Mytilus edulis: one gene and its partners. Each later gene encodes a partner of the first gene's protein in a complex. Links are inferred from orthologs where the notes say so. Each region holds a gene or a part of one and is shown on either strand. Other genes may lie near its edges. The genes, in order: nuclear pore complex protein Nup93-like, nucleoporin NUP35-like, nucleoporin NUP188-like and centrin-3.

Region 1 (7,377 bases):
TAGAAGGGGCACCTGTACAAATGTCTCCCTGCTTTCAAGTTTCAAGAATTTTAAAACTCCAAAAAAGGGCAGCAAGATTAATTCTAGATGCAGATCCTTTATCCCCCTCAGCCCCCTTATTTAAAAAACTTGGGTTGATGACAGTTGACAATAGAATAAAATACCACAAATATTTACTTCTATATAAATGTATGCATATGGAAGCACCAATGTACCTAGTTCAAAAGTTTAAACTGAAATCAGATAATAATCCTTACTCCTTTAGGCTTAAGAGGTGTCGCTCAAGGTAATCTGATAGTTCCAAAGCCAAAAGCTGAACTATTTAAGTAATCCTTTGCTTATTCTGGATCAGTATTATGGAATGGACTACCACACAAAATGCGTAAAGCTCAAAACACTTTTACTTTTAAGCAAAGTATCAAGAAGTACCTAACACAACCCTGATAAGAAATGTTTGCTACAATGTATTTATATATTTTTTACTTTCATTTGATTTTTTGGTTTCATGTATACATCTTAAACAGCATTATATCTTATGTTAATGACATTGAACTACATGATTGTAAATTAACTATGTGTAAATATCTGTTTTGATTGTATCATTTGTATGTGAGGGCCTCAGGGAAGATTAGTTTATTGTAACTAACTGAGTATACCCTCTTTAAATAAAGAATTTATTATTATTATTATTATAATTCCAAAAGTGACATATTAGAGAGACCGATATTTCAGAAATCCATCAACATACTAACATGTGGGGATCTTACTATATCATGTGTGTGTCAAGCAGGGCTTCCAAAAAATATTTGAGCCAGCCGGACATTTCATATCTGATCCCAATTTTAATCCCTTAAGACTTAGTCACAAAAGGCAATTATGGTAATCAGATGGCCATATTCCAATGATTGACATTACATTAAAAAAATTTAAACTTTACTTTGATATGATATGAATTTAATAAAATTGATGATGGAAATGGGGAATGTGCCAAAGAGACAACAACCAGACCATAGAGCAGACAACAGCAGAAGGTCACCAACAGGTCTTCAATGCAACAAGAAATTATCGCACCCAGAGGCGTTCTTCAGCTGGCCCCTAAACAAATATATACTGGTTCAGTGATAATGAACACCATACTAAACTCCAAATTGTACACAAGAAACTAAAAGTTAAAATAATACAAGACTAACAAAGGCCAGAGGCTCCTGACTTGGGACAGGCGCAAAAATCCGGCGGGATTAAACATGTTTGTGAGATCTCAACCCTCCCCCTATACCTCTAGCCAATGCAGAAAAGTAAACGCATAACAATACGTACATTAACATTCAGTTCAAGAGAAGTCCGAGTCTGATGTCAGAAGATGTAACCAAAGAAAATAAACAAAATGACAATAATACATAAATAACATCAGACTATTTGCAGTTAACTGACATGCCAGCTCCGGACCTCAATTAAACTGATTGAAAAATTATGTCTTCATCATATGAATATCAGGCACAATCCTCCCCGTGAGGGGTTTAGTATCATACCATCATAACATATATGAGAAGAACATAACCCGTGTCATGCCAACAACTGGTTTATCAATATTAATGTGATTAGTTCTGATGCAAAGACCCTATAAGTAAATCAATATTAACGCCAAAATATGCAATCTTTAATGACCTGACAACAGTATCGTAACTATATCCCTTCTTAATAAGTCTATTTAAAGGTTTTGTTAGCTTCTGAGGTGAATACTTACATTTTTGTCCTTTATAAAGAATATTTCCATAAAATATTGGATGGGAAATACCTGAACGTAATGTTCGGGTGTAACTGTTAAATTGGCAGTGCATAATTCAAAGTGTGCACATCAGCCTTAGACTTTTTATTTGTGCAAAATGACATTGTCAAAAACTTTACTTTCGTTTTCACATTGTTCTAACTGGATGTTGACTTGACAATGGTAAAACTTGGACCATAAAGGGATACTTAAATCTGTGTACGTTTACAAAGCACGACAGAGAGAAGAAGCTCTTTTCCCCGTTATTTCTTCAACAAAATACTTGAAATGAACGTTAGATCAATAATAATGTTAGCATTTTTGAAGAAATGAGGATGCATTATTAACTTTTCCACCTGTGCACACATGTTCTAATTCATACGACATAGTTCTGACGATTTTTCATATAAAACCTTTTTAAATTTTTCATCAAATCATGTTGATCAACTAATTTCTAATAATTTTAATCTTTTGGACTAAATCAATTAGATACAAACCGCTGAAATGTAAGAAAATAATTGTGAATAAACCGATCAATTTATACGATGTCCTTTGATTAAAATTAGAAAGTATTGAAGTAGGTGTTGTTTTGATAGTAATTAATCATCATGTCACATTTATGACCGGAATTTTTTATTGTGTTGATGTTATAGGCAAAAGATTGGTTCAAAAAGATCGTGAATTATGTAAAAATGACTGAAAAAGCCTTGAAACCTAAAAAGTATATGACCGTTTCATGCTTTGCACAGCCGGACTTTTACCAGACATTATAAACTGACCGGAATATATCACCGTTTTGGAAGCCCTGGTGCCAAGGTATATAAAAAAGACATTGTCGTATAAATTGAAACTATTTTCTTCCCATGGTCTATATGTTCTTGTTATTGATAGAAAGTCTAGTACCTGTGTTTGAAAATTGGCAATGACAGAAAAAATATATTAACGGTAAGGCATCCCAGAAAGAAAAAAAATAATAGCCTTGCCAGATGTCATTTTTATTCAGGGACTAGGTACCACATTTGCCATGAACTACAATAATTCTATTAAAAGGATAACAATAGATTTGAGGGATACATATGCTTTCCTTCAGTACATCAGGGCAAAACCAAACTATTTGTTGTCTCATCATAAATAAGTAACCTTTTCATATGGCAAAAGCCTATTCTGTCAATCCTTGTTGATGTTCTTCAACCGGTTCAAAACCGCCAAAGGAAAATAAGAATGATTTGAAATTGGATCATTAAAATGTTTTAATAAACGTAAGTTATCCACTGAATTACATTCAAGCGTCTCATTTACCTTGATTTATCCAAAATGTCTGCGCCCAGGTTTTGTCAGGTGTTTCCCAGGATTGCAATATTTTAAGTGTACTTTCAATTTAGAGAAAGCTTTTTGTTTAGATTAATCAGTTACTTGGTAAGTTTTCTAAATTGCCATGTTATCCACCAATGTAATTTTTATCATACATGTATAGTCTACAAAAAAAGTCAAAGCAATGGGAAAGTTTATCACCAAATGAATAAACGTATTTACACTTTTGGTATTTAGCTGAATCTTGCCTCCGAATGACCTTAGATCTACTCCGAATCACCTTGGCTGCGTTCAATATCGTAGCTGCTACGTAGCGCTACGTAGATTTTGACTATTGAACGTGTAGCTAAATACTAGTTATTACATAGATATTGATAGCTGCTACGTAGCGGCTACGTAGCTGCTACGTAGCTGCTACGATATTGAACTCAACCCTTTTGACGTCAAGCAACAATCACTTTTAAATTGTGACGTCAAATAATTTAAATTATGATGTCAAAGTTTACGGGAACCTGTGTGATTTTACATAATGGCGGACAAATTTGCATACAAGTGTAAATACGTCTATACATACCTAGTAACCTACTGGAATGAAAAAATTAATAAAGACTCTGAGAGATACTCCAGCTTAAAATACATATCTGGTGAATATAAGACAGAAAGAATACATCCAATACTTACAACAAATACATCAAACTGTAGAGACATAATCAAATTAACAATTAGGACCAGATTTGCAACTGGCAATTTCATCTTGCATGTCTTGAAGACAAATATATGGAGTGAAATTTTTTCAAAATGAGGTATCTGCCATCTGCAGAGTCTGTGGCAAAGAGGATGAAACCATTTCACTTTTTCTGATTTCATGTACACCTTTAGAAACTGAAAGAATGTCTCTCTTGAAATCTCTCCGAGAAATATACAGATACAGATACATGGTGACTTTTGCAGTTTTGGTCCATCTCTCTAGTTCACTTGAAAACTATATAAGATAGATAAACTCTTTAAATGACAAAAATTATTAGCAAGGGAAGGTCTACATACATTTTATAAGTGTATCGCCAAAATCGTTTGTATACTATACTCCTAAGAGTGATTGCCCTTACATGTTGATTTTGTTTTTACTCTTTTTTGTGTTTTAGGCAATAAGTAAAGAAGATTATGATAAATTGTAAATAATTTTATCAACAATACAAGTTTAATAAAAAAGAGATTTTTCCCCTAAATTCTAATCTAGTACACATTTAATAGTGAATAATGTATTCTGTATATATACATTTATTAACAAAATCTTGTTTTGTACCTGTGCTTCTTTGGACCAAAAGTGGAACAAAACCCCTTATGGTCAGTGATAAGTCATAAATGAACCCTCAAATCTACACATATAGTCATTGTAGGCATGAACAATGTATAAATGAGTGTTTTTCAGTTTGCATTCATGCACAATTACTATTGAGACTGCACTATTTGGGAAAAGAGTTGTCTTTTTGGGAATAATTTTAAGCCATTTTTTTTTCCAAATTGGGATTCTACACCAGGGGAAAAAGCCCTTATTCTCCAGTAATTTAAGGCAAACAATATCACTGATTCATTGTTATACACAATTGTATTTGTTTTGCTTTATTTTGCTTAATTTGTCAGAGGGTTTCATCTAGAAGAATATAATAATGATAAGTAACTATTGTGATAAGATATTTTTTTTTTCCATTTCAGTTTCATGTTTTATGCCTCATATAGCAAGTTGGGGGTGAAATGACACTGTAAAAATATTACATCTTCATGTAAGACACCCTTTCATTGGAAAACCTCTATTTTTAAGCACAGGCTCATATAAATTTGACTTTTGAATAATAATGCTAAGTCTGATATATCAAATGAGTACTCTATTGCTTTAAATACATGATATATTATATATTAAGGCATTTTAAAAGTATTTTTTTGCCAAATTTAAATTTTAAAAGCCCCAAATGTTGATAGTTGAAATTTCTCAATTTTAACGTCTAAATTTAACACACAAAGTTGAATATAGAATTAATCATATTGTCTATAATATATATCCTATTGCTATGAACTTTGTAAGCAGTCTTATAATATATTAAGCTTTAGTCATACCAAGTTTTATTAAAATTGGTCAACTTTTTCTATCCTATTAGGTCAGAGTACACAGTTATCGTCCTTTGATTTTCGTTGTCCACGAATATAGTCCTTAGTGTGGACAGTGTGTTACTTGCCAATTTTTGTTATACCCCTTCCAAATTTATTTCTCCATGTTTTATGCCTCATATAGCAAGTTGGGGGGTGAAATGACACTGTAAAAAAAATTGGGTAATAAATATTAATGTAAAGTAGTGATTAGGTCCAGCTGAAAAAGGTCAAAAATTAGCACTTCGGAAGCTGTCAAAAGATTTCAAGACCCCCTTAACATAAAATTGTCCATATTTTGAGTAAGAGCTGATGAAGTTTTCTATAATTTTAATATAATTTGTCCCAAAAGTAGTACAACACACTGTAAAAATATTATTGAGAAAGCGCAGGTGGGATTTTTAAAATTTTCATTTATTATCTAAAAGAAATGCACTACGAAATAACTGTGTACTCAGACCTAAGAGGTGAAATCAGGAAATATAGAATCTGTACTCTGGCAACTTCCCTGAATGATTTGATGTTGTCAATTTGTCAAATAGCTTAAAACTAAAGGATTTAAACTTTTATTTGATAGAATTTCTGCAAAAATGACCAATTTTGGCATTATATGGTCAAAATAAGCATTTCATAGCTTTTTCAATTTTGATGCATAAGTGGCATTCTGACTTTCTATCTGACATGTTTTCATGTCTCAATTTTTGTGTTTCTATGCTTTAATCCAGTTTTATTACTTATTTGTGAACTCTGAATCTACAGAAAAGAAGATTATCTTGGACAGTATGAGCAAAATGTGTTGTATAAATGACCCTCGTCTAACGCCCTGTTTGGATCAAGTTAAATGTGAGGAGCATGGCACATAAAAGTTGAAGTCAATAATAAAGACCTCACTAAATTTGTATAAAAAACACTTAACAATGTCCTTTGTACCTGTTTCATTTCTCATAATATCTTTCTTTACTTCTGTAGGATAGCATGTGGTTCAAATATAAGCCTGTTGAGACTAAAATTGCATGCAAGTTTTTCACTAAAAAGTGAAAAATCTTTGTATCAGACCATACTGTCTGCTAAAAAGTTGAATGTAAGAGCCTTTTTGTGCTCAGATTTATTGTATCATGTCACCTGAGTATAGAAATGATAGAAAAGACACAAATTTGTATTTCCTATAGCTTCAATATGCACTTTTAAATGTAAATATGTGCTGCGGCCTAAATTGACCCTAAATTATTTTTAGTCTTACTTGGCCTAAGACCCTTTTAAACTAATATGATATGTTATTTGTAAGTTTTATTTCCATTTAAAGTACATTAAATAGATATGTAAGGATTATTTATAATCAAAAAGCTTCACAAATTTAAATTTGCTGGAAAATATTACATCTTCATGTAAGACACCCTTTCATTGGAAAACCTCTATTTTTAAGCACAGGCTCATATAAATTTGACTTTTGAATAATAATGCTAAGTCTGATATATCAAATGAGTACTCTATTGCTTTAAATACATGATATATTATATATTAAGGCATTTTAAAAGTATTTTTTTGCCAAATTTAAATTTTAAAAGCCCCAAATGTTGATAGTTGAAATTTCTCAATTTTAACGTCTAAATTTAACACACAAAGTTGAATATAGAATTAATCATATTGTCTATAATATATATCCTATTGCTATGAAACTTTGTAAGCAGTCTTATAATATATTAAGCTTTAGTCATACCAAGTTTTATTAAGATTGGTCAACTTTTTCTATCCTATTAGGTCAGAGTACACAGTTATCGTCCTTTGATTTTCGTTGTCCACGAATATAGTCCTTAGTGTGGACAGTGTGTTACTTGCCAATTTTTGTTATACCCCTTCCAAATTTATTTCTCCATGTTTTATGCCTCATATAGCAAGTTGGGGGGTGAAATGACACTGTAAAAAAAATTGGGTAATAAATATTAATGTAAAGTAGTGATTAGGTCCAGCTGAAAAAGGTCAAAAATTAGCACTTCGGAAGCTGTCAAAAGATTTCAAGACCCCCTTAACATAAAATTGTCCATATTTTGAGTAAGAGCTAATGAAGTTTTCTATAATTTTGATATAATTTGTCCCAAAAGTAGTACAACACACTGTAAAAATATAATTGAGAAAGCGCAGGTGGGATTTTTTTAATTTTC
Region 2 (7,407 bases), on another chromosome or scaffold:
ATGTAAAACAATAAAGGATAAACATGATCATGAAGTACAAATGTATGTTTAAATTTGTCTTTTTCTTGATGTCATAATTTGAATTATTCAAGTGATCTTGAAATCACTGCCCCTGACTGACACATGATTGATTAATACATTGTACGGCTGACTAAGTGTCTACTAGTGAAGGGAAGCAATCCAGTCACACTTCCCCCCACCTCTAGTGGCATCATACATGTATCATTATGACTCGTAAACACATACCACAGCTTAAATTTCTCTCTAACAACTGAGGGTTTTTCAGTTGGGCCCCAATGTAACTGGAAAAGCATGAATTTCATTATTACCAAATTGCTCGTCTCCACCAGGACTCATGATAATATCCGTCTTACAAGGCAGCACTTGAACCTCCTGAGCTAAAGAAGTACTTCCTTAACTTGACCGTTAACAGCTGTCTAAGTATCTACTAGCTAAGGGTAGCAATGCCGTCCACAGGCACTTGTTTCTATCCATACGCAGGTCGACTATACATATAAATAGAAGAAGGTGGCTAACGAAATTTTTTTTAGGTCACGACAGTCTCCGCTTGGGACGCTTTTTCTAACCTTCAACTTAATGCTAAAAATCCCTACCTTATATGAATCGATTCAGTGAATATTTTCCTTTAACACTAAACTAATTTCATAATCCCCACAGTGTTCCTCTTCACGGTAATCTACTCTCAATTCACTAAACCATGTCCAAAAGTTCAACTACCATCTTTTCAATGTATCTACTTCCGGTTGTGGGAAGAATGCTATCTTTTTAAAAACGAAATGATTCTGTAAAATTACCAGCTTATTATTTTCATTATCAATATATTTTTAAAGATGAAATTTCACCGAAATAAGTACATTTATCGTTGTTATAAAAAAAAGCCAGAAAATCAGAAACTAATTTGAATGAATTCGATAATACTAGAGAATTCCGAATGTATATGGTATTAACTCTAAAGAATTTCATCGATCTTTTATTTTGGAGGTAAAAAACGTATTCAGATTCATAAGAATTAGGGGAAAGAAACTGAGTCAATGAAAACGAAATAAATTTACTGCGATGTCAACCGGAAGTAGATACATTGAAAAGATGGTAGTTGAACTTTTGGACATGGTTTAGTGAATTGAGAGTAGATTACCGTGAAGAGGAACACTGTGGGGATTATGAAATTAGTTTAGTGTTAAAGGAAAATATTCACTGAATCGATTCATATAAGGTAGGGATTTTTAGCATTAAGTTGAAGGGTAGAAAAAGCGTCCCAAGCGGAGACTGTCGTGACCTAAAAAAAATTTCGTTAGCCACCTTCTTCTATTTATATGGATAGTCGACCTTCGTATGGATAGAAACAACAGTGTTCCAGCTAGGTTTTCAAAAGGGCAGGGTGCCAATCCTGAAAAAGGGCATTTAACGCGCGATATGATAATATGAAAAGGGCATATTTTAATAAAAGATGTTAATCAAACATTTGTGTTTATTCGTTGAATCACAGGTTATACAAGAACAACATCTTTAGCCCATATAGAACTCTATCTTTCTACTTTTAAGGCTGAAAAACTTGTCAAGCAGCTTGTCACACAAGTTTTTTTATCATTGCTTGGCACAGTTGAACTTTATATGCAGAATGTTTTGAAAGGAGATCTGTTTCATACTGTTTCTACCACATTTTACCAGTTTCACCTTTCTACCCCTGCTGTGCTTGATGGCAATACAGCACAAAACAGCTGTGCTCAGTAAATTCACAATTTTAGGATATACATGATATAAAGCAACAGTGAAAAATAGTATCAAAAATAAAGAATACAGAAAAAGATGACCAAGGCACCCTACCAACACTGCTACTAAGACCCTCTTTAACTTTTCTCATAACTCTAAATAAATACCTAAACATACATATTCTTAAGCAAGAAGTATGGAGACACATTTTAGAATATGTAAATGGGTTACTCAATGCTAGGAAAAAAATCAGATTGAGTTATCTTTCTTTATTCGGGTGTGCTCCTTCTTTGGAGGATTATAAACAGTACGTAAATATGATGCAAATATGATCACAATATGGCAGCCGATTTTGTTATTTTCGTATCAAAAATGAAGGCAGTCAATGACAAATACGTCTGAATTTTCTGTTTATTTTACAGAAAACAAGTAAAACAATGTCTTCAACGAGTTTATAATGGTTTTCCAACTTTCTGTCATTACGTTTCTTCCATGAAACTACGGTAAACATCGCAAATTGTGCCCAAGTTGTTGTATGCACATTTCTTCAAAGATAATTGCCGACTGACCGATTCTATTTGAACGAATTAATGTTGATGATCATTAATGACCCATCCGATAAACGGATTACCTATAACAACAGATTATGACACCAGTTGTAACCATTGATTAGCTTGGGGTGGTAAACAAAGTCATAATCTTTTCCCCAGGTAAAATTTAGTAATTAGCGTATCATATCAATACGCAAATTAATATGCAATCGATCTTCAAAAAAGGCAGGGCGCCCTGGAAACTGTAAAAAGGGCACAGGGCGCCGCGCCCTCTGAAAACGGCCTAGCTGGAACACTGAACAAGTGCCTGTGATGCCGTCACAGACCAATGTATTTGTCAATTTTGAATGGGGACATATGGTTGAACCCCCTCTTTTATCTTTAATTCTTGGTTTGGGAACCCCTTTTAAAATGGCTGGAACCGCTCAGTACCAGTATGTTTAGTATCTAGTAAACCATATAATGACTTTACATCACTACATGTCTTTTCATGGGATGTAGTGTGCATAAATTGTTGACTTAATGATTGACAGCCAAACATTCTGTCTCTGACAGTGCAGTGCCTGTTTGGTGTTGTCCGATATATCACAAAGTAAATAAAAAATCAATTTGTCTATGTTTTTTTACCATAACTGTCAAAAGTATGACTCATCATTTCCTTATTAATAAGCAATCCAAAGAAATAATAAAGTTATTTTCTTTTGAACTTTCAATTTTCGATCAGAAATTTGTGCGCATGCGGAGGAAATGAAATCTGTAAAAAATATGTCGGTATGGAGATGCAAAATTATCCGGATTATTTTCTGACCATTTGTATTGCAATTTCCTAGTTAATAAACGTATTTACACTTTTGGTATTTAGCTGAATCTTGCCTCCGAATGACCTGAGATCTACTCCAAATCACCTTTTGACGTCAAGCAACAATCACTTTTAAATTGTGACGTCAAATAATTTAAATTATGATGTAAAAGTTTACGGGAACCTGTGTGATTTTACGTAATGGCGGACAAATTTGCATACAAGTGTAAATACGTCTATTATTGACCATTGATTTACATAACTAGGAGTAGTCCTAAGTTGAAGGTGATCTTTAAATATTCATCGTGTATAAATGTTTATACAACAGAAATAAGTAAATGCTTTCCAAAAAGCTTGTCTGACTTTAGCATGTTTAGAATCTATTTTTTATGAACTAATCTATTTTTTAAGTACTAATCTTATCTATTAAATTAAAAGTCTGATACCTTTGATAACTTATTCCTTTTTGAATCCCCGCCTCTTTGGAGAGTATATCCATTATTTCGATATGTCAGTAGAACAGGTGCTATCTATAAAATTTCTTCTTTAAGTTTCTAGCGATCCTTCCGAATTATTGAAGATTATTCATAGAGAATGAAATCAAGAGTGTGTTATAAGGGCGGAACAAGATAGTCTAAAAGAGTTATCAAGGCAACAGTACAAGGAAGACATTTCACTCAAAACTCTTTTTTTTTTAAACTCATGACTCACGCAATTTAATTTTTAAGAATTTCCGGCAATTTTACAAAATGACAAGGTGTATGATTAGACGTGATAGCTAAAACGCTTTATATATCTGTCTAGAGACGATAAGTTCACCTAGACTAAGTAGTGTTTAATAGTGTGATCACTAGTGCCATGATTGTGTAGTGTAGAAGTCCCCCCTTTCCCTCCGCTGTATTTACAAGGGTGTTTATTTATGACTGAAATTATCCATATTTTTTTTTGATGCCTTTATTATGCATGATGTAGCACTGATTTTGACACTGTTGTCAAAGATAATAATTACATGAATTACACATGAATTACAATGTTGTTGGTGAAATTTTAGTTTTACATATTTGTCATTTGCTTGATTAACGAAATTATTATCATGTACAATGTCAAGCTGTATGAAGGGTATCCTTCTTCTATTGAATTGTCAGACTAAACAGGATCATGATTACACACATGTTTTTTTTGGGTTTTTTTTCTTTCCTGTTTGGCGACTTCGTTTGGGTTAAGGTGCTTCATATTCACACTTGCTCATTGTTGCTTATTGATACCATGTTTGGTATAATTGTATATTATTGCATTATTATAATAAAGCACCTTTCGCCAAACACTATTAGTTGTCAATTTTCTAGCGATCCTTCCGAATTATTGAAGATTATTCATAGAGAATGAAATCAAGAGTGTGTTATAAGGGCGGAACAAGATAGTCTAAAAGAGTTATCAAGGCAACAGTACAAGGAAGACATTTCACTCAAAACTCTTTTTTTTTAAACTCATGACTCACGCAATTTAATTTTTAAGAATTTCCGGCAATTTTACAAAATGACAAGGTGTATGATTAGACGTGATAGCTAAAACGCTTTATATATCTGTCTAGAGACGATAAGTTCACCTAGACTAAGTAGTGTTTAATAGTGTGATCACTAGTGCCATGATTGTGTAGTGTAGAAGTCCCCCCTTTCCCTCCGCTGTATTTACAAGGGTGTTTATTTATGACTGAAATTATCCATATTTTTTTTGATGCCTTTATTATGCATGATGTAGCACTGATTTTGATACTGTTGTCAAAGATAATAATTACATGAATTACACATGAATTACAATGTTGTTGATGAAATTTTAGTTTTACATATTTGTCATTTGCTTGATTAACGAAATTATTATCATGTACAATGTCAAGCTGTATGAAGGGTATCCTTCTTCTATTGAATTGTCAGACTAAACAGGATCATGATTACACACATGTTTTTTTGGGGTTTTTTTTTGTTTTTTTTTCTTTCCTGTTTGGCGACTTCGTTTGGGTTAAGGTGCTTCATATTCACACTTGTTCATTGTTGCTTATTGATACCATGTTTGGTATAATTGTATATTATTGCATTATTATAATAAAGCACCTTTCGCCAAACACTATTAGTTGTCAATTTTCTAGCGATCCTTCCGAATTATTGAAGATTATTCATAGAGAATGAAATCAAGAGTGTGGTATAAGGGCGGAACAAGATAGTCTAAAAGAGTTATCAAGGCAACAGTACAAGGAAGACATTTCACTCAAAACTCTTTTTTTTTAAACTCATGACTCACGCAATTTAATTTTTAAGAATTTCCGGCAATTTTACAAAATGACAAGGTGTATGATTAGACGTGATAGCTAAAACGCTTTATATATCTGTCTAGAGACGATTTGACGTGTTGTGGAAATGACTATAGAATATATATGGATCGATATGTCCAATAACTCAATTGAGTAAATAAATACATCATCTGCTTGAAGTTCTTCTTCTTCTTCCGAATACGGGAGTAGACTCCTAGGTAGGAGTGTAAAACTTCCCGGAACTTGTGTGCTATGTACATATGGACTTAATTTAAAAATAATATGACAAAGAAAAATCATTAACAATAACATATATACACTACACAGTGTAGATACTATTCTGTACGCTATCCGGAAGTCGCGATTTTCGAAGCGAGAACTTTTTGGATCACATTTTAAATTTGATGGGTATACTGAATTAAACGGTAAGTTGATCATCTGTACATTGCTTAATGATTAATTCAGCCGACATCGATATTCTCAAATGGTTTAGAATTAAATTCCGCACATTCAATATCCGTGTCTTTGCCTTAATCAAGAGATTTTCAAGTGCATCACTAAGAAAAATCAGTCGGCGAACCTAAAAACAATCTTTTTACCCTCTTAGTGTACAAATTAACGTAAAACCAGACTTAATTAACTCAATGAAGTATATTTCAAGTGGTGGTAAAAGTTTCAACCAGATCTTTGAAGCCAGAAATAAGAAAATTACACTTGTTTGAATTTCTCACTGTACGATCAGTCTCGCTTGTTTATTTTAAAACTGTATGATCAGTCTTTATGTCACTGTATTCTAGTGGTGATTTCAAAGTTATTTACGATACATTAGAAGGTGGCATTTTTCTAAATAACACAAATATATTTCAATACATTCACATCCTGAAAACTTATGAAACATGTTTTAGCTTGATTGGGTGTACTCGACTTACTACTTTAAGTATAAGGATGTTTAAATGTTGCTAAAATAAGAGGAAGGTTTGATGTATACTAGTATATAAGTTTCAGAAATGTCCTCCGTTATACTTAAAATTGTACAAACACACAGATTTAGTTGTTACATAAAAATGCATGTATTTACACACATTCGAGGCCTTACTGAGGCCTATAATTGATCACAGTTCCTTCACTTTGTTTAAGATGTAGAGCTATATAAAAAAGAAGATGTGGTATGATTGCCAATGAGACAACTATCCACAAAAGACCAAAATGACACAGACATAGACAACTATAGGTCACCGTACGGCCTTCAACAATGAGCAAAGCCCATACCGCATAGTGAGCTATAAAAGGCCCCGATAAGACAATGTAAAACAATTCAAACGAGAAAACTCTCTTTGACACTCAATTGTACACCACTTTGTCAAGCGGAGGGTTATAGTGATAAAGAAGTCCGTCTTTCCGTTCGTCCGTTGGACCGGTACAATATGTTCCGCCGGTTTTGTAAGCGCATCTCCTCATAAACCACTTAATATACATTGGGGGTTCCGGCCATTTTTAAATGGAGAGGGGTCCAATCCAGGAGAAAAGGGGATTCCAAATATATGTTCCCATACAAATGAATTGATAGTTAAAAAGGGTTTCAAACTGCCGGATCCCCTTTTTTTGAATCCGTCACTGATATAACTATTAATTAATCTTATTCGGATTCCTTATCATAAATGATAATGACTGTATTGTGTACCGTCTATTTCGATTTTTAGTAAAAATCTTTAATGGGGTTACTTTATATAAGATACGGACTTGAACATTAAATTATATGGGGGCACCCATCAGGTATTTCCAACACCTCCTAAACCAATCATTAAAGTTTTCTGAAATTGCTCCATTTTTACTCGATTAATGCATTGTGGACCTTCTATTTCTGTAAACTTACCAAAATTATATCACATGAATTATCCCCCTACGCAAAGCTGTCTTTTACCATTTTTTGTTATTTTAAAAGACAAGCTTGATTTATGTTATCATCAATTGGAGTCAACGGCGGACGGTGTAAATAATCTTTAAAAATGTAATAGCTAAAC
Region 3 (7,152 bases), on another chromosome or scaffold:
ACAGACACGTTAACTTTTATTTCTATAGAAGTCGCTCTTCACTATACTACTACCTGTCGATACATTTATTTTTGGCATTGCACAAGTCATGTCTTCTTTGACTATTAATGACGTTAAAATACTAAATCCCTGTGATGTGTTTTAGTCGATTTTAGTCTCTGATGCATGATTTTTTATTATTAATTGGTTTTGGCTTTTAACTAGCTGTCAGTAACTGCGAGTACTCTCAAATCGTATTTTCTTGTTAATTCGACCTGTTGATACTGTTTATAATGCTTTTTTGTTATTTTTTATTTATATGGATCTTGTCTGTACACCAGCTTTGATTATTTGTATTATCTTCAATTTTTCACTTATTCTTACAACATTTGTATAAACTTCAAGATTATAAAAAAAAACGTTTTTTTTCTAAAGTTAACATTGATTGGTTAAATATTTCTCAGTCATGTCCTGCGTTTGAATTTGTTTGTTAGCTTTTTGGTCATGAATGTTTGTCTCTAATATTTAATTAACTGTGCATTTGTATTCAGATATCGCAGATCAAATTTATTCGTTCATTGTTTAATCATACGTTTTTTGATTGAGTTAAGTCTGCCAATTGATATTTTATCGTATGTTTTTCTTTGTTGTGATGTTATGCTATTGTTTCAGAAAAAGGGAGAAGGTTTGGATCCATTAAAACGTTTAATCCCGCTGCAAATGTTTGCACCTGTCCTAAGTCAGGAATCTGATGTACAGTAGTTGTCGTTTGTTTATGTAATATATACGTGTTTCTCGTTTCTCGTCTTGTTTATATAGATTAGACCGTTGGTTTTCCCGTTTGAATGGTTTTACACTAGTAATTTTGGGGCCCTTTATAGCTTGTTGTTCGGTGTGAGCCAAAGCTCCGTGTTGAAGGCCGTACTTTAACCTATAGTGGTTTACTTTTTAAATTGTTATTTGTATGGAGAGTTGTCTCATTGGCACTCACACCACATCTTCCTATATCTATTTTAAGGACATTAACAAAACCCAGTAGTACATGTATATGACCTGGTAGATGTACTATACAAATGTAGAGAACCGTTTTTGTTATTAACATGTATCGTAACTTATCAACTCTTCAGTCCAAGTTGATAACATTTGAGGAGGAGATGATTTGATCAAAGTCTTTCCAATCTTGACGAAAACTCGCGTAACATTCGTGCATATCCATCAATAATGGACGAGGGGTCAATACGTTATATATATGCAATATGGACCTGTTTCATATTTCTAGGTCTGCCAGTCGATTTATGTCGTACTTTATAATCAGCAATTTTTCAATGTGTTACTCCACTATTACTGAGTGGATGGGTATCATAAACAGTGGACAGGAACTTGAATTGGTATAGATCTGAGACATCAGCGTTCTTTTCTTATGCTTGTTCCAGCTTAGGAAGCTCGTAATCAGTATTGGAAAATGGGAACAATTTATAAAAAAGAATTGTAAAAAGGAAAAAAAATGTCAAAAGCTGTATTTTTTCAAAATATATGTTATTCAGAAATATGTCCACCAAAAAAAATTAAACTTATTATAACTATCAATGTGGTATGTCATTTTGCGTTTCGTCTAAATTTATAGATTTGATAAACTAATTGTTATGTTCAAACTGTATTAAACTAAGTAATTTTCACGTTTAGTGATGCCAGTTATTCATCTTATAAAAAAATGGGAATCTGATAAGATTGTTAATTCCACAGCTACATGTATCTATCACATGTACAATTATCTTTGTGCCATTTTCACATCTACACTAACTTTTTATAGTGAATCAGAGTCATTGTGACATATAGGAATAATTCTCTGTTGTCATATTCTGACTTTTATACAAAGAAAGTGATAAAGATAAACCGTGCTTTTGTTTCCAAAGGTTTTGGAGAAACTGCGATGACAAACAATAAAAATTAGAAGATGTAGTATAATTGTGTTATTATTGACAAAGTTGCAACAAGGTAGGGATAGCAAAAATAAAAACATCATAAATTGTAAAAGCATAATTTTTTGCAGCATTTTATTCGCATGTGTGTGGATTGTCAAACAGCGAAAATATATTTTGTAATTAAAAGTATATGATTTTGAAGTGGCCATTGCATATAAACCACTTTTATATACATGTACCCTTAAGGATAAATGTCAAAGTCAGTTTAATCTTCCATGGATCACAACAGATTTTCGTGAGGTGCTGCACGCATATGGCAAATATCAAAAGATTTTGTCACAGGGTAATCAGATCGTGTTCCAACATGCACGAAAGTATTAAAAAAAAACCTATTCACTTTGAGATCAAAGGTCAAAATATTATTGTAGGTATCTATGGCATTGACCTATGACCTACTTGCCAATTTAATGAGATTTTCTTACATTTTCTAACTAAGTACTATAATTATAGTAAAAATGTGTACAAAAGAAGCAAATTGTAAATGAATACTGTGTGTGTGTGCCTACATTGTAATGATTGCTATTGCAAACAAATGTGCAAAGTGGAGACGAGACTTCCCCTCTTTTCTTTTTTCTTTCTCTTTTATAAAAGACATGATGAATTATTATACAATAAAGATGCAAAAGTAAAAGGTATAATGTTATACACTCTATGTAATACCAGTTTGGTTCGCCAAATAATTTTCGCAATTATTTCAATTTTCTTGAGTTTTGCATATTTTTTTTACCTTATTTAAAAAAAAAACCAAAACAGATATAAAAATGTTAGTTTCATTAATTTTTTTATACCAACCTAGTACCAGACTTCCATATAGGTAGTTTAATCATAAGTGTTGCCTGGTGCAACACAATTGTGTTAGTCTCGGTAAACAACAAATAATAAATAAAGATATATCATAACAAGAATGTGTCCATATAATACGAATGCCTCATTTGCAAGGCCATTTTATGTGCTCTGTCGAACGTGAATTTGGGGTCTGAACTCCTATTTAGTATTATCATACTAAGAGAACATGTGTACTAAGTTTCAAGTTTACTGGACTTCAACTTCATCAAGATCTACCTCAGCCAAAAACTTCAAACTGAAGCGGGATAGACGAACGGACGAACGGGCGAACGGACGCACAACCTGAAAAACAGCATGCCCTTTTGACGGGTGCAAAACCATACCCAACTACCTCCTCGATGCAGATGGTCTTTCTTTTCGCACGACGATGTCCTTATCATGTTACATTCTTGAGCAGACTTGTCATTTTCAACTGTGTACCACTGTAGATGAGCAACAACTTATTGTGACAAAATCCAACACTGAATATAATCATTAAATCAATGAAAATGTATTCAAAGACTTGACAAAACAGAGACATTTATCTTCAGAAGGAAAACAAGACAGAAAATTTGAAGCCAAATGTATCAACTTCTATTGTATGAATGGGATAAACTTACCTTTCAATTCTCAAGGCTAAATAAGTATTTTATAGGCTAAATACAAACTTACCTGTCAATGTAGAATTGTAATCTGAGTGATACCGGTGTTACTCAAGTCACCATAAATGCAAACAAAACAGGCTGCTGAACAACGGTATGGGAAAAACTGGAAAGAAAGTTGGTGTGAATTATTTGCACACCCTATAGTCAGACACAAAGATGAAACACAGTTCAAGTTTGTAGTGAAATGATATTTCATGTGTAAGATTTAAATATGTACCAACACACAACAGTAAGACACTGGTTTTGACGGTAACACTTTAAAAGCATTATTTTTAGGTTGTTAAATTTAAGTTTTTGTCTGAAAACTTATAGAATATGAATGCATATTATAACTTCAAGTTAATTAGAATATCAATATCAATATGCATGCTTTGCTTAACTATCACAGGCACTCGTCTCAGAATTTTTTCCCCCTATAAACCTTTATGATATATTGATGTGTTTCCCTCAGTTTTAGTTTGTCTGAACCCGGATTTGTTTTTCTCAATCGCCGTTCACAGGCACATGTCTCGGAAATTTCTTTCCTATATACCTAAATATAACACTTATATTAAGGTAGTAAATCCCCCTCAAATAGTGACAGTTGGCAGGTGCTATTATTCATTTTTAGGAGGATGGGCTTTAAAAAAAAAAACTACCTCGGAAATTTGAAGGTCCGTCAATTGATTTTCATTTATGTACCTTTATTGTGTTTCCGGTAAAACAAAATGTGAAATGTGATGGCGGGACAGCTGAAATCTGAAAGGTTGAAGATTTTCCCTTATTTCCATAATATATTACTATTTTGATCGGTCTCATTTAATTGCCTGAACCAATTCGTCATTTCAGTGTCACAGTTTTTGTCCTTTTTCTTCCAGTTTTATAATATCGTCATTTTCGACCCTGGTTTGAAGGCAGAAATTAAAATATAATATGTGTGGTTCCAGTAACCCTAGCTGCGGAACCGTACTTTGCGGACCATGGTCCGCAAATAGTCAAAAAATAACATAAGGTAGCACTCCACAGTTAGGTGTGTAGTTTCGCATTTTGGCCCCTGTGGATTTTTCAAATATTAGAGCTAGTGTGCAATAAAATTCATTTTTGGATAGCTGAGTATTAAAATAGCCTTTGTATTGGGTTTATATGAACATCAAGAGTATGTAATATAGGCTGTTCTCTGTATGACAGTCCGTATTTGCATGTCCCTACCATACATTGGTCCGGCAATTATTGTAATGTTTTTTTCCAACTTTTTATCGCACGAACTTTGTGATTGGATTTTACGAAAAAATGAGGAGAAAGACACCCATTTTTTATTTGATCATTAGGAAGATTTATGAAAACAGTTTCTAAAAAGGTATTACTCAAAGGCATTGAAATTCTAGTTTGATCCAAATTTTGGGGGGATATGTGACATGTCCTGGCAGGTATTGTGGTACGCACTGAAACCCGGACCGGACCGGACTCCGGACCCGGACTTTGGTATGAAACCCGGACCCGGACCCGGACTGGCCGCCGGACCCGGACTGAATGCCGGACCCGGACTGTGGTTTTTTTTACCACTTCGGTTTTTTTTTAAAGATTACTGTCATATAATATATAATCAAGCATAATCAAGCATGTATATAAGTTAGATTTAAAGGGGCAGTAGCTCCGAGATATAATGAAATAATAAATAAAAATGTTCAATATAGAGAAATAATTTTATTTTAGCAGCCATTGTCAAAATAAACTAAGATACATCGCTTATGAAATATTCACGTAATCTCCGTATCCGTAGTATTCCTTTGGTAAGAAATACAGAAATAATCTTGTGTTATATATAATGAGTGGCAAAAGTTTACAAGGCCGTATACGTTAACCGGGATATTTTTTACCCCAAGATGGTACTCTGAATAAAATCTTCTGCGGCTCCTGATTGGATGATCATACAAAGTTGGAATTGCTCCAATAAAATTTAAGCAGCGATCGATCATCTATGTAATACACAATCTTGAACAAGTGAGTCCGGACTGTGACCTGACATGACCCCGGACTAGCTTGAAGTTTACTATACCTGCGTGTATTGCATTACGACGACTAACTGTATGTAAACTGTTTATTGTCGTAAAGTATATTGATGGGACATTTGATCAATCATGTAATACATAAGAAAGTTATAAGATATGTATCCGACATTTAACGAAAACATTAAATGTAATAGGCGAGTCCGGATGGTGACCTGAAGTAACCCCGGACTAGGTGTATTCGCAAACTATAGACATCGATAGAGATATAAAACTTCACAAATTATTTGATGAGACGAACTTATTCATTTTTATTCATTCAACTTTTTCCCTTATTGGATTGTCGTCGGAAACATTAATAAAAGACGTTTCCCCGAGAATCAACAAATTAATATTAGGCGAGTCCGGACTGTGACCTGATATAACCCCGGACCAGGAGTATACGGATTGTATATAAATATACTAAATTATTTGTTTAATTGAAAGATTTTTTTCCCCTTTTTGCTTTTTACATTTCCTTTATTCATTTCTCTATTTCTTTAGTTATTCGATTGTCATCGGAAAAATCAATAAACGACACTTAAGCGGCGTTCAACAATGTAATACACAATCCTGAACAAGTGAGTCCGGACTGTGACCTGACATGACCCCGGACTAGCTTGAAGTTTACTATACCTGCGTGTATTGCATTACGACGACTAACTGTATGTAAACTGTTTATTGTCGTAAAGTATATTGATGGGACATTTGATCAATCATGTAATACATAAGAAAGTTATAAGATATGTATCCGACATTTAACGAAAACATTAAATGTAATAGGCGAGTCCGGATGGTGACCTGAAGTAACCCCGGACTAGGTGTATTCGCAAACTATAGACATCGATAGAGATATAAAACTTCACAAATTATTTGATGAGACGAACTTATTCATTTTTATTCATTCAACTTTTTCCCTTATTGGATTGTCGTCGGAAACATTAATAAAAGACGTTTCCCCGAGAATCAACAAATTAATATTAGGCGAGTCCGGACTGTGACCTGATATAACCCCGGACCAGGAGTATACGGATTGTATATAAATATACTAAATTATTTGTTTAATTGAAAGATTTTTTTCCCCTTTTTGCTTTTTACATTTCCTTTATTCATTTCTCTATTTCTTTAGTTATTCGATTGTCATCGGAAAAATCAATAAACGACACTTAAGCGGCGTTCAACAATGTAATACACAATCCTGAACAAGTGAGTCCGGACTGTGACCTGACATGACCCCGGACTAGCTTGAAGTTTACTATACCTGCGTGTATTGCATTACGACGACTAACTGTATGTAAACTGTTTATTGTCGTAAAGTATATTGATGGGACATTTGATCAATCATGTAATACATAAGAAAGTTATAAGATATGTATCCGACATTTAACGAAAACATTAAATCTAATAGGCGAGTCCGGATGGTGACCTGAAGTAACCCCGGACTAGGTGTATTCGCAAACTATAGACATCGATAGAGATATAAAACTTCACAAATTATTTGATGAGACGAACTTATTCATTTTTATTCATTCAACTTTTTCCCTTATTGGATTGTCGTCGGAAACATTAATAAAAGACGTTTCCCCGAGAATCAACAAATTAATATTAGGCGAGTCCGGACTGTGACCTGATATAACCCCGGACCAGGAGTATACGGATTGTATATAAATATACTAA
Region 4 (7,266 bases), on another chromosome or scaffold:
GTATACTACATTGCTTATATATATCACCAGTACTTAATTTTCACACAAAAAAGTGGAACAACCAATACTTCGGATGTTTTGATATATAAAAGTTTGATAGAACATACAAATCAACTTTTACAAGCATTTTTATAGAACTCATCACATAGACGTATTACTACTCAATTTTCAACCCAATAAGTTCCCCTTTCCTATTTTCCCCTGCATATGAAATGCATTTTCATAAGTTTTATAAAAAAATATATATATGTGTATCAATAGTTGTGTCTGTGCTTGAATAAGAACATATGCTAAGGTTTAATAACTTTTTAAGTCTTTTATTCTTGTTTTTCGAAAAGACTAATTTTAAACCACACTGGTACAACTCCAAAAAAAAAAATCCGGAAAATTATTGGCAGTGCTAACCATGACCGGTAAAAAATGTCTCTTCTGGAGGTAAAAGTCATACAAGCTTAGCAATTAAATCATGTCGAGTCATTTGAGCGTGCCAATATTGTTTTAAACTACGCAAATTATCAGACAAGCCATCCATGCAGTGGTGAGTTTACTCTTCATAAATAACTCCAAGGACAGCCGCGTCAACATTCAGCATGCGTTGTTAACTACTTGATGAAAATAAAAATAATTTGCTTCTAATGATTTAAATTAATCGGGGTATGATGTTGCTTTTCAAATACTAATAGAAAGTCTACATGATATATATATATATAAAAAAGAAGATGTGGTATGATTGCCAATGAGGCAACTGTCCACAAGAGACCAAAATGCGAAAGAAAGGAAAAAAACGTATTCTTTGTCGTATAGTTTGCAGTTCCATTTGTTTACAGATATTTCATTTTGCGAGGGAAAAAAAAGTGAAAAGCTGTTTACGATCGTTCGAAATGTATACTTTTAGCTGAGTGTGTGATATTCCTTAACGAAAAACCAGAACACCCCTTATCAAATAGATGGTATTGGTATTGCCCAAAGTCTATATATAAAATGGTACAACAGTTATTGAGATTTGGACAATGACTGCTTTAAAACTATAATAAAAAAAAGTATGTGGTATGATTGCCAATTAGACAAATCTCCAAAAGACCAAATATTATACATACATTTACAACTATAGGTCACCGTACTGCCTTCAACAATAAGCTACTCCCCTACCGCATAGTCAGCAATAAAGGGTCCGATTTGACAAATGTAAAACAATTCGAACGAGAAAAACAACGGCCTAATTAATGTACAAATAATAAACGTAATGACAACAACTGACTAACAGGCTCCTGACTTGGGACAGCCACATACAGAATGTGGCGAGGTTAAAGATGTAAGCGGGCGCCCAACTCTCCCCTTATATCGGACATTGGGATATGTGGTGTGATTGCTTATGGAACAACTCTTCACATTAGACCAAATGACACAGATATTTACAACTATAGGTTACCGAACGACCTTCAACAATGAGCAAATCCCATACCACTAAGTCAGGTATTACAGGTGTCAAAGGGACAATAAGGTTTATTTCAAATGGTGGTAGATCCAAATCTTTCTTAAAGTCATTGAATGTAGAGATCAATTAGAGATTATAAGAAATATCTTTGTGCACATAAAAATAAACATGGGTTGATAAGATTTGTAGGTACATTGCAATTATGCACTATCGCACTACAATGATTTTGATTTGCAAGAACATGACAAAATATTTCTTGCGGGATCTTTTCAAAACATACCCTTTGAAGAAATTTTTTGTAGGATCTGTAAATGACTTAAGTGACAGATATAAGAATTATTCTGTCGCGTCTTTTTTGCCAATGCACAGATATTGAAAAGTTATTCTAGGGGTTGCATCATATTAAAATCATGACAGTTATTTTTCAATTCTAATAAAGGGGTTTCCTCATATGTCAGACATGATGAATTGTGATTTTAGACTGAAGGCGTTACTTCAACCAAAGCCACAAGACAGTTTTTACCTATTCACGACATATGTAACTTTTTACTTATTGGACCCCTGATGTCTGGCATACAACAGCAGCTCGCGCTCTTACAGAATGCGACACGTCTTCTCTAATTGAAATTGGCAAATGACAAAAATTATTAGGGGTCGGGAAAAACATGCATGTATCAAAATTTGTCATTCTAGCTGGTTCTTATATTCACACATATGTTGCAGTGAAAATTAGTCCAAAGCGGATCAAAATGACCACAGAAGCAATGGTCAATCAGTACATAATGGTCTGATTAAACTCAAGAGTATTGTCGGCGCCATACCATGACATCCAACTTTTTTTTTCTAGTATTCCGTTACCTTTTCAAATTGATGTGCATATTGATGTCTAGTGTAATTGTATTACAATTATACATAGACAACAACCTTAAATTTTGAAGTGTAATATCCCTGTGAATCTTTGTTTGTAGTTCACATATATATCGGGATTTCAAGTCTGTGATTTATTCCATCGTTTATAGTTATATAAAGAAGATGTGGAATGAGTTCCAATGAGACAACTCTCCATTCAGGTCATAATTTGTAAAAGTTAATCATTATAGGTCAAAGCACGGTCTTCAAAACGGAGCCTTTGTTCACACCGAACAGTAAGGGATCTAAAAAATTATTAGTGTAAAACCGTTGCAACGGTCTAATCAATATAAAAAAAACTAGGAACGAGAAACATTTATGAACCACATCAACAAACGACAACCATGTCTGGCGTTGTTTTATATATATATATATAAAAAAAAGGGGGGACACATATTGTCAATGCGATATTGGTCTCGTACTGATTTATTTATTAATATACAGAAAAAACTTCATATACTATAGTTTCATGAACATAAAGACTATTTTTATAGTTCTAACATCATTTTAAGTCTAACTATTCAGCCAAGAATTTTCATAATTTTTTTCATAACATCATTATAGGTCAAAGCACGGTCTTCAAAACGGAGCCTTTGTTCACACCGAACAGTAAGGGATCTAAAAAATTATTAGTGTAAAACCGTTGCAACGGTCTAATCAATATAAAAAAAATAGGAACGAGAAACATTTATGAACCACATCAACAAACGACAACCATGTCTGGCGTTGTTTTATATATATATATAAAAAAAAAGGGGGGACACTGGTTTACTTTACAGTTCTTATTTCTCCTCTGTTACTTATGGCATTTTAACAAAAACTTTCCCCAAAATATCTTTATAGGTAGCCATATATTATTGCATAGCTAAATCTTAATTATGGCAGCCAACTGAGATTACTTTAACATGTGTTATAGCTACATGTTATACTATAGCATCCGCATACCGGTATTTAAAAAAGAAATAAATATGAAAAAAAAATATTTAAAGCTTGAAATAAAAGAAACAAATATAAACCGACTATCTTTTCAAACTGTATGATCTCTTTATTGTTTTATTTATTTTATGTTTTGTCATGGATTTGTCATGTTGGACAATAACAGATTAAGAAAAAATCTGCTCATGATAGTCGTTTTTTAAGAAAGTAAGAATCCGCCGCACCCTGTTTTTTTTTTTATCATTATCAATTTGTCACGTCTATAAAGATTTCACAATTATTGTTCAGCGTTTGCTAGCTAGGAGACATCCTTAATTCATTCAGTCTGATTAAAATACAAGTCACGTGTCGAAGTTTTGCTTACACGCTTGTAAAAAAGCATGTGACACACATGATTTTAGTCAGATTGACTTAACATTCAGACTTTGTCAATCAGACACAATAAGGTATCAATCTGTTAATTATACAATAGTGAAGTTATAATAACTTATATTTCTTTATTCTTTAAAGTTACAAAATCATTAGCTGTTTTCAACTATTTTATACGTAGAGCAAGATTGGATCATCTCAGAGGAGGGGCGAAAGATACCAAAAGGACAGTCAAACTCATAGATCGAAAATAAACTAGCAACGTCTTGGCTAAAAAAGAAAAATACAAACAGGCAAATGATAGTACACAAGACCCAATATAGGTAACTGGAGACTAAGCAACACGAACCCCACCAAAAACTGGTGTGATATCAGGTGCTCCGTAAGGATAAGCTCAACAGTGATGCGTCTTCCAAAATGGGGACGAGGTTATTTGGGGCGAATTGTCTCAACTTAATACATATATTATACTTTCGTATTATTAAAGTTAATGACCTTTTCCTTGATATTATTAGATTGATATTTAATATAAATATTTGTATTATTTTTTTTTCTATTCTATTGAATAAATTGTTGCATATATATTTTATTTTGCTTTACGAAACAGTCACGAATTATCAGCGAACGGGATAGCAACGACAAGCGGTATTTTTAACCGCTATTTATTAAACCGTCAGAAAACTAACTTAGCCATGAGTTTAGCTTTAAGGTACAGAGTGCACGGGTTTCGAGTATTTGTATTGCAATGTAATCGAAAGTAAATCCTACTTTAAACGTTTTGATTTCGTCGTTACAGTCAAAAATATTTGCAAATCTTTCAAGTTCTGACAAGTCGAATTTCATGTGTGAAAGGATATGATTACAAAAATTAATTATTTCAAAGTTGTCATTGTGAAAGCATTGACTTGTAAACTTGTTAAATTACTGAAATTAACGTTTGATGTCAACAACGACACAAAATTAAAGTAAAACATTTTTATAATTTGGACCATCTAAGTTAGCCACTGGCACTAGCCATGCTGATAAAATATTTATATAGAAGCCAGGGGTTAAAAAATCCACTAGCCCGACGTCCGGGACTACAGCATTTAGGCCTCGGGCAACCAGAACTTGTAACCCAATATGCCCGACGGACTAGTAACAAAAAATTCTTGGCGTTTCCAAAATAGAAAGTGGAAAATCCCCTCATCACTATTCTATCTTAGCCAATCAGATTCGACTTCTTCTTCTTCTTCCAGGTAAGGAACCGAATTCAAATTTTGAATGTATGAGGTCCCGCGAAAACTAACGCAATGTCGGACAACACAGAAAGTTTTCTCTTGGCTATTTACAGGATAAAACGTTCTCTATATATATACAATTAAAACTATTTACAGGATGTTACTGTCTAAATTTTAGCAGAGCATGCCTTCAGGGCAGCTCTGAATCCATCAACTGTGTCAGCTGATGTTGCTGATGTTGGAAGTTGGTTCCAGTCTCTAATGGTCCTTGGAAAAAATGATTGTAAATAAGGACTCTGTGACGGGCAACTTATAATATCCGTGTTTTAAAGATTTTAATGATATCAAGCCTATCAAGCCAGTCCAGTTCACAGTACTATCACGTGGTACAATTCTCATTTACATATCATGAATATTAATTAGCAAAACCACTACTAATTTCTGGCAATGGGATATTTTTTTTGCTGACATAAGTTTTGGGTATCCAATTTGCTAAAATCTACTATACAACGGATAAAAAATGTTAAGTTTATAGAATTCATTGTATATTGCAGCAAACTCTGAATTTTTAAGGCATACTCGGGCTAGCAGGTCAATTTTGTTGGGCTAGTAGTTCTTCCAACAGGGCTAGTAAAATCCTGCTACCAATTAGCCCTGGGCTAGTGAGCTATAACCAGTCAGGGGACTTACTTAAATAAGTGATTTTCTAAATCACTGATTCAAGTAACATTATTTCCATAAAGGTTGGAAGTTAGAGTTGTCTTTCTTTAATAATCACCTATTTAAGTAGTACAAATTAATCACTAGAAGAAGTGATTTAATTTTATTTTAGCTTTAAATATAGAATACTAATGACCCAGGGACTAATTATGTTTCTAAACTTCTCAGAACCAACATCTGTGTTGTCTAGGATGACCAGGTCATTTCAGGTGATGACCTTGTACTGAATCTAGGATAATGACATAAAAATCACTTGTTTAAGTATCAGACCTCAATTTCCTTTCCAAAAATCACTTCTTTAAGTATCATTCTTTTAATAACCCCCACTAATTTCAACACCCCCGAACAGTGAAATTTTTATCGCGAACAGTAGAATTTTATTACATAATCTGAAAGATGAAACCTTGAACTTCATAGGAAAAATACCCCTACTGCTGGGAAAAATCTTTTAAAAAAGTATCAGTTCATTAAGTAAAGCCATTATTATAGCATTTTTTCAACTAAAATAGAATTTTCAGCTAAATGATAGCATCAAAGTCATAAACCTTGCTACTTAAAAGAAGCAAAAAGTTATTTTTTTTAAATTTTACTAATTAAAAGATATGATTTAAACCTATGTGTTTAAAATTTTGAAAAAATTACAAAATTCCAATTTGTGACAAAACCTCGAATTTGCTACTCAAATAAGTGATTTAAAAATCACTTATTTCAGTAAGTCCCCTGACTGATAACAAAATTTCTTAACCCCTGGAAGCTGTTTGGTCAATTTATGTAGTATATTCATAATAACCAACTCAAGTTTGGTCTATCGATTTTCAGGAATTTTAATTTAAGTACTGACAATGACTGAAAGCCATAAAAATCTATTTTATTTTTGAGAAAATACATTTTGTTTTCAATTTCCAATGCAGTTGGAACATATATATAATGACGGGACTTGACACTACTTACCAAACTATGTAATTTGTAATTGTAACCGATTTTATAGTCAATAAAGACGATTAGGAAACAGATGTATTAAAATATTTACTCACTTTTATCCTAATAATTTCTGATAATATCAATAAAATGTCATTCAAACTAATGTTTTGCATTAATTTCATTACAGAAGAGTAAAGAATGCAAACTTATTAATTAAAAAAGAAGCCGATTGCATTCCCAAATTCAAAATCATAAGAATATAAAAAAAATGTGGTACGATTGCCAATGAGACAACTGTCCACAAGAGACCAAAATGACACAGATATTAACAACTATAGGTTAGGCCAAAATAAATAAACAGTGTGTTTCCTATTTCACCCCGAAAAAATTTAGGTAGGGTAGGTAGGTAAAACATTTTATTTTATGAAAACTTTTTATTTTTTTCTATCGATGACAGCAGAAAAAGATTCAAAATGAAATCATTTGATGTGCCTGCATGCTTCTTTGATATTTATTAGTACTTAATTAAATCTACAGGTTTTTTAATTTTCTGTAAAAAATATAAGAAATATGAAAATTAACTTACGAATTTCATGGGCCGTAATAGGAATATGTTCTTGCCAATTAATTATCTTAAAGCAAAAATGGCAGTGAAAAATCTGGCATGTTATTATTGTTTGGCCTCGTTGAACCTAACAATGTAAATGACACACAGGGTATACATGTGGGAACAGACTCCTATCCCCTTTTTAAGTA

What was found.
Region 2: the proteins of nuclear pore complex protein Nup93-like (region 1) and nucleoporin NUP35-like are in contact, whole or in part, in a crystal structure (PDB 7MW1), measured with the Homo sapiens proteins. The link is inferred for Mytilus edulis from reciprocal best matches to the Homo sapiens genes NUP93 and NUP35. Residues at the interface, in NP_055484.3 of Homo sapiens: Tyr266, Tyr269, Asn402, Ala407, Asp408, Lys409, Thr410, Glu411, Tyr413, Tyr448, His452, Phe453, Val455, Asn456, Leu461; in NP_612142.2 of Homo sapiens: Ala88, Pro89, Pro90, Val91, Arg92, Ser93, Ile94, Tyr95.
Region 3: nuclear pore complex protein Nup93-like (region 1) and nucleoporin NUP188-like share a complex: the UniProt entries of both Homo sapiens proteins name them as parts of the nuclear pore complex. The link is inferred for Mytilus edulis from reciprocal best matches to the Homo sapiens genes NUP93 and NUP188.
Region 4: nuclear pore complex protein Nup93-like (region 1) and centrin-3 share a complex: the UniProt entries of both Homo sapiens proteins name them as parts of the nuclear pore complex. The link is inferred for Mytilus edulis from reciprocal best matches to the Homo sapiens genes NUP93 and CETN3.

The regions. Positions count from the first base shown.
Region 1 is NC_092348.1:93,171,131-93,178,507, reverse strand, and holds the start of nuclear pore complex protein Nup93-like, read right to left. Parts: upstream 3,020-7,377; 5' UTR 2,906-3,019; intron 1-2,905. UniProt on the Homo sapiens protein: Plays a role in the nuclear pore complex (NPC) assembly and/or maintenance. May anchor nucleoporins, but not NUP153 and TPR, to the NPC. During renal development, regulates podocyte migration and proliferation through SMAD4 signaling.
Region 2 is NC_092350.1:3,170,041-3,177,447, reverse strand, and holds the start of nucleoporin NUP35-like, read right to left. Parts: upstream 3,030-7,407; 5' UTR 2,938-3,029; coding exon 2,910-2,937; intron 1-2,909. UniProt on the Homo sapiens protein: Functions as a component of the nuclear pore complex (NPC).
Region 3 is NC_092345.1:50,791,078-50,798,229, forward strand, and holds the start of nucleoporin NUP188-like, read left to right. Parts: upstream 1-4,131; 5' UTR 4,132-4,170; coding exon 4,171-4,196; intron 4,197-7,152. UniProt on the Homo sapiens protein: Component of the nuclear pore complex (NPC), a complex required for the trafficking across the nuclear envelope. Required for proper protein transport into the nucleus.
Region 4 is NC_092354.1:69,364,502-69,371,767, reverse strand, and holds the start of centrin-3, read left to right. Parts: upstream 1-4,261; 5' UTR 4,262-4,341; coding exon 4,342-4,358; intron 4,359-7,266. UniProt on the Homo sapiens protein: Plays a fundamental role in microtubule-organizing center structure and function. As a component of the TREX-2 complex, involved in the export of mRNAs to the cytoplasm through the nuclear pores.